Linked DNA regions of Oryctolagus cuniculus. The protein of the gene in region 3 binds, or shares a complex with, the protein of the main gene of each other region. Links are inferred from orthologs where the notes say so. Each region holds a gene or a part of one and is shown on either strand. Other genes may lie near its edges.

What was found.
Region 1: the proteins of CDKN1B (region 3) and SKP2 are in contact, whole or in part, in a crystal structure (PDB 2AST), measured with the Homo sapiens proteins. The link is inferred for Oryctolagus cuniculus from reciprocal best matches to the Homo sapiens genes CDKN1B and SKP2. Residues at the interface, in NP_004055.1 of Homo sapiens: Ala181, Gly182, Ser183, Glu185; in NP_005974.2 of Homo sapiens: Arg294, Asp319, Val321, Arg344, Tyr346, Asp347, Gly369.
Region 2: the proteins of CDKN1B (region 3) and SFN are in contact, whole or in part, in a crystal structure (PDB 7ORG), measured with the Homo sapiens proteins. The link is inferred for Oryctolagus cuniculus from reciprocal best matches to the Homo sapiens genes CDKN1B and SFN. Residues at the interface, in NP_004055.1 of Homo sapiens: Arg194, Arg195, Arg196, Gln197, Thr198; in NP_006133.1 of Homo sapiens: Lys49, Arg56, Arg60, Arg129, Tyr130, Glu133, Leu174, Asn175, Val178, Glu182, Leu222, Asp225, Asn226, Leu229, Trp230.

The regions. Positions count from the first base shown.
Region 1 is NC_091445.1:61,746,736-61,749,354, forward strand, and holds the end of SKP2 (S-phase kinase-associated protein 2), read left to right. Parts: exon of another isoform or gene 1-253; coding exon 254-467; 3' UTR 468-2,111; downstream 2,112-2,619. UniProt on the Homo sapiens protein: Substrate recognition component of a SCF (SKP1-CUL1-F-box protein) E3 ubiquitin-protein ligase complex which mediates the ubiquitination and subsequent proteasomal degradation of target proteins involved in cell cycle progression, signal transduction and transcription.
Region 2 is NC_091438.1:144,640,904-144,643,430, reverse strand, and holds SFN (14-3-3 protein sigma), read left to right. Parts: upstream 1-1,003; 5' UTR 1,004-1,106; coding exon 1,107-1,853; 3' UTR 1,854-1,988; downstream 1,989-2,527. UniProt on the Homo sapiens protein: Adapter protein implicated in the regulation of a large spectrum of both general and specialized signaling pathways. Binds to a large number of partners, usually by recognition of a phosphoserine or phosphothreonine motif.
Region 3 is NC_091440.1:110,363,475-110,367,173, forward strand, and holds the start of CDKN1B (cyclin-dependent kinase inhibitor 1B), read left to right. Parts: upstream 1-822; 5' UTR 823-1,467; coding exon 1,468-1,942; intron 1,943-2,498; coding exon 2,499-2,620; 3' UTR 2,621-2,628; intron 2,629-3,699. UniProt on the Homo sapiens protein: Important regulator of cell cycle progression. Inhibits the kinase activity of CDK2 bound to cyclin A, but has little inhibitory activity on CDK2 bound to SPDYA. Involved in G1 arrest. Potent inhibitor of cyclin E- and cyclin A-CDK2 complexes.

The DNA.
Region 1 (2,619 bases), on a different chromosome or scaffold from region 3:
TAATCCTCAGTTTCTAAGGCTGTCAGGAGCCTCATTCAAGCAAGTGTGCCGGTGCGTCTCCCCAGGCCAGGCTGCTGAGGCCGTACAGCCTGCGCTTTGCAGTGCCATTTCCCTGTGCTCTCCTCTCTGGTCATTTATTGCAAATAGTTTCAAGTTGCACTTTGTGATACAAATTGTAAAAATTGGGTCACATGTTTAGTCAGAGTGGCTCCTTAGATACTGCTACTCTGAACTTCTCTTTCTTCCTTTCCAGTGAACTTGGAGAAATTCCCACGCTAAAAACACTACAAGTTTTCGGAATCGTGCCAGACGGAACCCTCCAACTGCTAAGGGAAGCCCTTCCTCATCTACAGATTAATTGCTCCCATTTTACCACCATTGCCAGGCCAACTATTGGCAACAAAAAGAACCAGGAGATATGGGGCATCAAATGCCGACTGACACTGCAGAAACCCAGTTGTCTATGAAGTATTTATTGCAGGATACAGTATCTTCTTTGGAACAGGGAAAATAGGAAGGACGCCCAATCGCAGGGGCACTCAGCTAGTTTTAGTCTTAGCTTTCCCTTTGCTTCATTCTGCAAGTATATTAGCGATTTGAGAGGGAAATGGGAAGTACTGCTTTCCTGAAAAGACTATAGAAGCTTCTGTTAGTGCTGTGCTCTTCTGAGCCTAAGTTGTAGGCCTTTTCAAATGTTAGGAAAATGAGCCTATAATTTCAAGATACCTGAAAAGAGCAAAATTTGAGCCACCTCTTCAAGTGCCCTTGTGTTAGTCTATTTAGAAGCAAGTTTTAAAATCACTATTGGCAGTTTTTATAGTCTACATGGTAAACTTTTTATCTATTTAATTTTTCAGCATTGCTTTATAAGATGTAGCTTGAAAGAACAATAAGCTAATTGTATTATGGGCTGACCAGAATCGGGATGGTAGCCTTTGAGGCAATCTCTTTTAGGGATTAAAAAAAAAGAAGAAGAATGCATTTCAACTCAGCCTTTAGATTTGAAATTAGGTTAATACAAAAAAAAAAAAGCCCCATGTAATTCACCTTAAAACTTAAAAAACAAAATAGAACTCACCAGAAATGCAGAACCAATATAGGATTTGAAAGTTCAAGAGACATTTTCTACATCAGATTAATTTGAAGTATCCTTTAATGTTAAGATACTAAATTCCCAGAATACTAAATTAGGTAAGGAAATATAATTGTGGTTTTCTAACTTGGTAATCAAATTATGTGAATATGAGTTGTTCTGCTTTTAAAATGACTTGCTTTTAGAACGGTATTAACCAGTCTCTATTCTTGAAAAGCTCAATGGAAGAATTCTGAAGTTGTCTGCTATTTTCCTTTAGTGTTGAGGTTCTTGAGATTATTTTTATATTACTCTGGAATCACGTATTTTGTCTTTTTTTCTAATGGTCCTTTGTAGTATTTGTTTGAAACTATCTACTTTATAAGGTTATTGGACCTAAAGTTCTGTAAGAACTGCATGTTCCTGTAAATCAGAAATACACATTAGAGCAGAAACGTGCCATACCGTTTCAGAGCAGTAAGCACTACTTGCACCTGCGTAAGAGTTCAGACTCAGGTGTTGGAAAAAAAAAAATCAGTGATTTCAAAAATTGAAAAACAGGTACAAAGAAACAAAAAGATCAAATTCTGCTTCTTGAAAATCACAAAAAATTAACAGATGACCTCCCCATATGTGAAAAATGCAATGGAAGTGCCAAAAACCATCATTTCTGTTCACTTTTTTAAATCCAGCTTTTTAAATGTTAGAAATAGTAGTATGAAGTGCCCTTATCTGCTCAGACCTAAGGAAGAACATTTTAAAGTAGTGCTACACAGGAAATGAGTATGCTTCAATTTCTTAGTAGTTCAAAAGTGCTAAATACTACTTGAAATTATTGTTTACAGATTAGTGACAAGGGCTGGTGACAGGATCTGGTTGGACGTTGACTTCCAGATGCCCCCAGTAACAGTGCCTATACTTCAAACTCAAGTCCAGCCATAAGCTAGTTTGCCAACATGTCAGAGTAATCTGTATTTTTGTATGTGATTTCTACTTTTATAGACTTGTATTAAAATAAAACACATTTTTATAAAAGTCAGTGCTGAGTTGTATCCTTTTATCCTTAACAGTGTGGTTAAAATCAGCTAGCATTCAGTGTGGTTTGCCCTGTGCTCAACAGCCTCTGAATAGACCCTTCTAAAGGGAGCCTGAGATAATCCTGTTGACCCATATACTTTGTATGCTTGTCATACTGATGGATTACAGTGCACTTTGAAAAGGTGCTACATATGAGGGCACTTCAAAAGTTCATGGGATATGAGATTCAAGGATTTTATTTTGATGCAAAAAATGTTGATCTATGCATAATTCATGGTGTGCATTTTCCATGAATTTCTTGAAGTAACCATTTACATGCTTATCCTTTTAAAATTCCACAGGTAACTTATTTATGAAATATTTCAATTTCAGTGATTAATGTGAAAGTCAAGTACTCTCAGCTAATAACACTTGTTTTTAAGGTTTTGCTTGTTTTAAAGGAAGAATGGAAGAAAGGGGGAGGGGCAGAAACAGATCTTCCAGCTGCTGGTTCACTCCCAAGATGATGG
Region 2 (2,527 bases), on a different chromosome or scaffold from region 3:
GGCCTGCTTCCCAGCCTCTGACAGAGGACAAGCTGAGTCAGGAAGGAGAGTGGGACCCTTCGTGAGCCCTGCTGCTCTGTGATGGCAGGCGGCGTGGAGGGGGCAGCTGACCCGGCCTGGAGAGCCTCATGGGAAGTCCTCCAACAAGTGGCAACAGGCCACCGACTTGAAAGGGAAAATTGTGCTGTGAAGGGGAAGGTGTCCGACGAACCTACTGGGTGACTAATTACGCAGGCCCGGCTGGAGCCTCGGAGGCCGCTCGTTAAACACTTCGTTAAGTAGCACCCTGATAGCTGCCACCCTTCTGGGAGCATTTGGGAGCTCGGAGGGGACCCTGCATGGCTGAGGCCCTGGGGCTGGAATTGTCTCCCAGTAGACTCAGGAAGAAGCCTGGCCTCACTTCTAAAAGTCTGGAGCTCCCCGGTCAGAGGGGGCAGGTGACCTGGCATGCAGAGCCCATAGGAGAAAAGCCCAAGGAAGCTGGGTGCAGGAGAGAGCTGCAGGGACTTGGCAGCTGTGTGGCCCTGAGCAAGTCTCACAGCCTGAGAGTGAAGAGGCTCCCACACCACGTCAGGGCTGCACACCTCACAGTCACGGTGGGGACTGCACCCAGTGAGGACTAGGGAAGCGCTTGGGTTACCTCGCCTGAAGGGGGGGGGCAGTGCACCTGGCCGGATTAGCAGCCCCATCTTCCTGCACCCACCTGAGCCCACAGGCTATGCCAAAGCCGAAGCTGCCAGGTGGCTGAAGCCGTCCTTACCTCCTGGCAGCTTCCTAACGCGGGTGCTGGACAGGAGGGGGCAGCCTGGAGCCCAGCAAGGTGCCCGCACAGGTGGGGCCCACGCCCAGATTTCTCCTGCTGACTGTTCCAATGACTCACCCCCACATCCCGGCCCTTTTACCTTTAAGGAAGAGCCGGAAAGGGTGTGGGGAGAAGACAGGGAGGCAGGTCCTGGGCCCCAGTCCCGCCCCCCCGCCCCTCCCCACCCTTGCCTAGGCCAAGCCACCCAGCCAAAAGGCAGGTTGAGAGCAGCAGAGGCACAGAGTCCAGCCTTGGTCCCCAGGCAGCCAGCTCGCCCGCCGCCCGTCTCTCTGTCCCCAGAGCCATGGAGAGAGCCAGTCTGATCCAGAAGGCCAAGCTGGCCGAGCAGGCTGAGCGCTACGAGGACATGGCGGCCTTCATGAAGGGCGCGGTGGAGAAGGGCGAGGAGCTCTCCTGTGAAGAGCGAAACCTGCTCTCGGTGGCCTACAAGAACGTGGTGGGCGGCCAGAGGGCGGCCTGGAGGGTCCTGTCCAGCATCGAGCAGAAGAGCACGGAGGAGGGCTCGGAGGAGAAGGGCCCGGAGGTGCGCGAGTACCGGGAGAGGGTGGAGAAGGAGCTCCGCGGCGTGTGCGACGCCGTGCTGGGGCTGCTGGACTCCCACCTCATCAAGGAGGCAGGCGAGGCCGAGAGCCGCGTCTTCTACCTCAAGATGAAGGGCGACTACTACCGCTACCTGGCCGAGGTGGCCACCGGCGACGACAAGAAGCGCATCATCGACTCGGCCCGCTCCGCCTACCAGGAGGCCATGGACATCAGCAAGAAGGAGATGCCGCCCACCAACCCCATCCGCCTGGGCCTGGCCCTGAACTTTTCTGTCTTCCACTACGAGATCGCCAACAGCCCCGAGGAGGCCATCACGCTGGCCAAGACCACTTTCGACGAGGCCATGGCCGACCTGCACACCCTCAGCGAGGACTCCTACAAGGACAGCACCCTCATCATGCAGCTGCTGCGAGACAACCTGACGCTCTGGACAGCCGACAACGCCGGCGAAGAGGGCGGGGAGGCTCCCGAGGAGCCGCAGAGCTGAGCCGCCCGCCGCCGCCCTGCCCCCTCCGGTCCCCGACGCCCCGCGGAGAGGACTACTACGGGGTGGGAGGCGCCCCCCTTCTCCCCCTCGCTGCGCCGCCCCGGCTCCCAAAGGCTCCCTGGAGAAGGGAGCCGCTGAGCCGAGGCCGCCCGGGGGTCTCGCTCTCCCTGCAAGCCGCGGGGCGCTCCCAGCCCCTGGCCGCCCCCCCACCCTGCTCTCCGCACCCCTTCCCCTCCCGCCTCGCCTCCCTCCTGCCCCTGCGGCTGAGCGCGGCGCCGGGCGGCAGAGGCGGGAGCTGGGGTGCGCGTGTGACTGTGAGTGAGCGAGAGGGAAAGCGTCTGTCTGCCGGCGGTGACCGGCTCGGCTCAATAAACTCCCCGTGACACTCAGTCCTCCGGTCTTCTGCAGTTATTGGCGCTGGGCTGGGAGATGGGTGGGAGTGGGCTTTGCACAGGCCCCGATTTCCCCCGCGGCTGGCCCAGCGGCCCGCGGGCGAGACCTTGCGGGGGCGCAGCCAGGTTCGAGGCGGGGGCCTCTCCCCGCTCCGGGTGGCCCCACACTGGTCTGGTCCCGGGAGGGGCGGAGAGCAGAGGCAGCACTGAGGCGCCTCCCTCGGGCTAGGGGAGCGGGTGCCTCAGGTGTGAGGTGAGGCCGCGGGGTGCTGCGCGGAGCGA
Region 3 (3,699 bases):
AGTTCAGCCTTCATCCAAATACAGCTCCGAGTCGGGTGCTGCAGCGAATCCCGCGGGAGAAGCAAGGGGCTGGGCCCAGGTGGAAGAAATAGGAACAGTTCTCCACACCCGTCCCTCCCTGCACTTGGGGGCTGCAACCTCGGTTTTTAAAAGCCGGGTTTAGGGACAGCAACAAAGTGCACGTAGGGGCTGGCGAGGCCAGACGGGGGTTGTCCATCCCGAGGTCCTTTCTCCTTTCTATTGAGGGAGAACTTGGGTTCCAAGCGCGTTCTAAACGCTGCGTCCACTTCCGGCTACTTTAGAGAAAGTCGTCTGCCCTGGCTCGCTTCCCCGAGCCCCTTCCCTGCCTGCTCTGGGACTTAGTGGTGAGGGGTGAGCTCACCACTGGTCTCACCCTCTACAGCCCCAGCGAAGGCACCCGGGCAGGGGGCCTGCCCGCGAAGTGGGAGCTGCGGGGGAGAGCCGAGCTGGGCTGGGGTGAGGTGGGGGGTGGGGGATGGGGAAGGGAAGGGCAGGGCTCTTACCCCCACCCCCACCCCCGGCTTGGCGGGCGCCAGCAGAACCAGCTGGGCGGCGGGCCTCAGAACGAGGCGCGGGGGCGACCCTCGGGGCCCCTGGGCTCCGGGCCCGTGGTTGCCCTGGCGAGGAGCCGGGAGGTCGGCGCTTGGGGGCGGCTGCGCGTCCTAGACCCTGGCGGCCCCGCCCGGCCCGCCGCCCAGGCCCCTCCCTAGCGCCGCGGCCGGCCGTTTGGCTCTTCGGGGCCCGTCGCCTTTTTAATTTCTCCGCGGCCGGCGCAGCAGGTTTGCTGGCAGCCGCGCAGCCCCCGTCTGCAGGCGGCGCTCGGGGACGCGGGCGGGCGCCGGCCCCCGCGCCGGGGCCACCTTAAGGCCGCGCTCGCCAGCCTCGGCGGGGCGGCTCCCGGCGCCGCGACCAATGGATCTCCTCCTCTGTTTAAATAGACTCGCCGTGTCAATCATCTTCTTCTTCGTCAGCCTCCCTTCCACCGCCATATTGGGCCACTAAAAAAAGGGGGCTCGTCTTTTCGGGGTGTTTTACGCCCCCTCCCTTCTCTCCACTCTCTCTCCCCGCGGCGCGGCTCCGTCGGCGCAAGGTTTGGAGAGCGGCTGCTTGCGGAGACCCGCGGACTCGCTCCGGCCTGGACTCGGACCGGCCGGGTCACCCCTCCCCGCTCCTCCCCTCCCCTCCCCGCCCTCCTGCGCGCCCGCACTCCTGATCGGCAGCGGCGGCGGCGGCCTGGGCTGCGCGGCCGGGGCGTCCCCGCTCGGCTCCCGCACCCTGCGCGCCCCCAGGAGCGCGGGCGGCGACTGGTCTGGGTCCATCTCCCCGGGCTCTGAGCGCATTCGCGGGGCTCCGCAGCGTCGGAGCGTTGGGCTGCGTTCGGTTTTGTTTTGCGGAGAGCGCGCGCCAGAGAAGAGGCGGCGGGGTCCAGACCCGGTACGGGGCGAGATGTCCAACGTGCGCGTGTCCAACGGGAGCCCAAGCCTGGAGCGCACGGACGCCAGGCAGGCGGAGCACCCCAAGCCCTCCGCCTGCAGAAACCTCTTCGGCCCGGTGAATCACGAAGAGCTGACCCGGGACCTGGAGAAGCACTGCAGAGACATGGAGGAGGCGAGCCAGCGCAAGTGGAATTTCGACTTCCAGAATCACAAGCCCCTGGAGGGCAAGTACGAATGGCAGGAGGTGGATAAGGGCAGCTTGCCCGAGTTCTATTACAGACCCCCGCGGCCGCCCAAGGGCGCCTGCAAGGTGCCGGCGCAGGAAAGCCAGGACACCGGCGGGGTCCGCCCCGCGGCGCCGGTGGCCGCGTCCCAGGCCAGCTCCGAGGACACGCACCTGGGGGACCCAAAGACTGAGCAGTCCGACGGCCCCACGGCCTTGGCCGAGCAGTGCGCGGGGATGAGGAAGCGACCTGCCACAGACGGTAAAGACCCTCCCGGAGCCGAAAGGCGCCTCTGTCCTCCGTCAGTCCGTCGGTCCGTCGGTGCGCGCTCCCGCTCTGCCTGCTTGCGGCTCTTTAACTCCAGCCTATTCTGATGGGAGAGCTCGGGGCGCGGGTGGGGGGTGGAGGGAACGAACTTTTTTATTGATCTCGGGTTTTTGAATGTTACCCGGGAGGCTGCTGGTCTGTTTATAAAGGCAGAAGCCGGGAGATTGTAGGATCTGATCGTTTTGCCCAGGTTGAAAACAGCGCCTTTCCTTCCTACCCCTGGGTAGGTGACAAGGTCGGGATGTTGATCAGCGGCCTCCAACACCCCCCCCCACACACACACACCGGGTCAGGGTAGAGGAAGGTGCGGGGGCCCCATTTCTGTGTGGTGCAGACCACCTTCCTGGGGGCCGCCCCGTCCAGGACCGTGCGTGGAGGCGGTGGGTTTTCATCCCCCTGGCCACTGGGCCAACTTGTGCCGGCCATTGTTTCTTTTACTGAAGATTGTGTGTGTGTGTGTGTCCTTTAAATAATCTCCTCTTGCCTTTAGATTCTTCCCCTCAAAACAAAAGAGCCAACAGAACAGAAGAAAACGGTTCCGACGGTTCCCCGAACGCCGGCTCTGTGGAGCAGACGCCCAAGAAGCCGGGCCTCCGAAGACGTCAGACGTAAACAACTCGGTGGGTTCATCAAAAACGGACACCCCGCGCCCCAGAAAAACAAGCCCAGCTCTGACACCCTAGCTGGGCTGCAGGACCGGTCCCCCCTCCCCCTAATACCCATAGCCAGCTGCTGGGTGCTTGCAGGGTTTGGTTTTGTTTATATTTTGAAAAGGCAAAAAAGTAGCCATGGGGCTGGCTGGAAGTCACCAGCCGTTGGGATACTGTAATCCTTCAAGGTTTCTCTCTCTGGGGATGATTTTCCCTTGAAACACTAACCGCCTAGAGCAAGTACTTGTCATTTTCCGTGAGTCACACCCACACGGGTTGGGAACAATAGATTCCTCCTTCCATCTGAGCAAGAACTGGGGTGCCCCCTCAGTCCCCCTGTTCCAGAGCTCACTTCCTAGCCTATTCAAGTGGAGACAGTAACAGGTTTTGAGCCATACATGGAAAATTGGCCAACACGCAGTCAAAATTTAAACGTGGAGAGAAGAGTTGGTTTATGTGAGGGGTTAGAAATGTGACCAGGGAGGTGAGAGATTGTGTTCTTTTATCTTTATTATTTTTGTAAACTGTCATTTTCCCTTTTTATTGAATATGTTTTGGTCAGAGAAAAGGAACCTGTGTATTAAAAAAAAAAAAAAAAAAGCCAAAAGTGGAAAGCTCGAATATACTCAGATTCCTACGGAATTTCTGATAACACAGAAGCTGCAAAGCAGAAGTTAAGTTCACTGTGGCACAGTAAGCAGTCCAGGAACACGTCAGCGCGTATGCTAATCACACTGTTACCAGCATGATTTGGATATTTGTAGGGGAGATGTCAGGACTGGTGAGGGTAGGTTTACCAGTACAGGAAAAATGAAGTGTTTTCCATATACTAAAATCTGATCACGGTGGATGGCTCATTTGACTAATTCAGCTTCTAACTTTACCTGGATTGGCTGTCCCTCCTGATCAAACTACTTATATTAATAGTTTGGTGGCTTCCTATACACAAGGAGTGTGATCTCTCTTGTCTCTGTCTCCTCCACCCCCCTCCCCGACCCAGTACCCTGATAGTGTAGCCTATAGAGATCTTAATGTTGATGT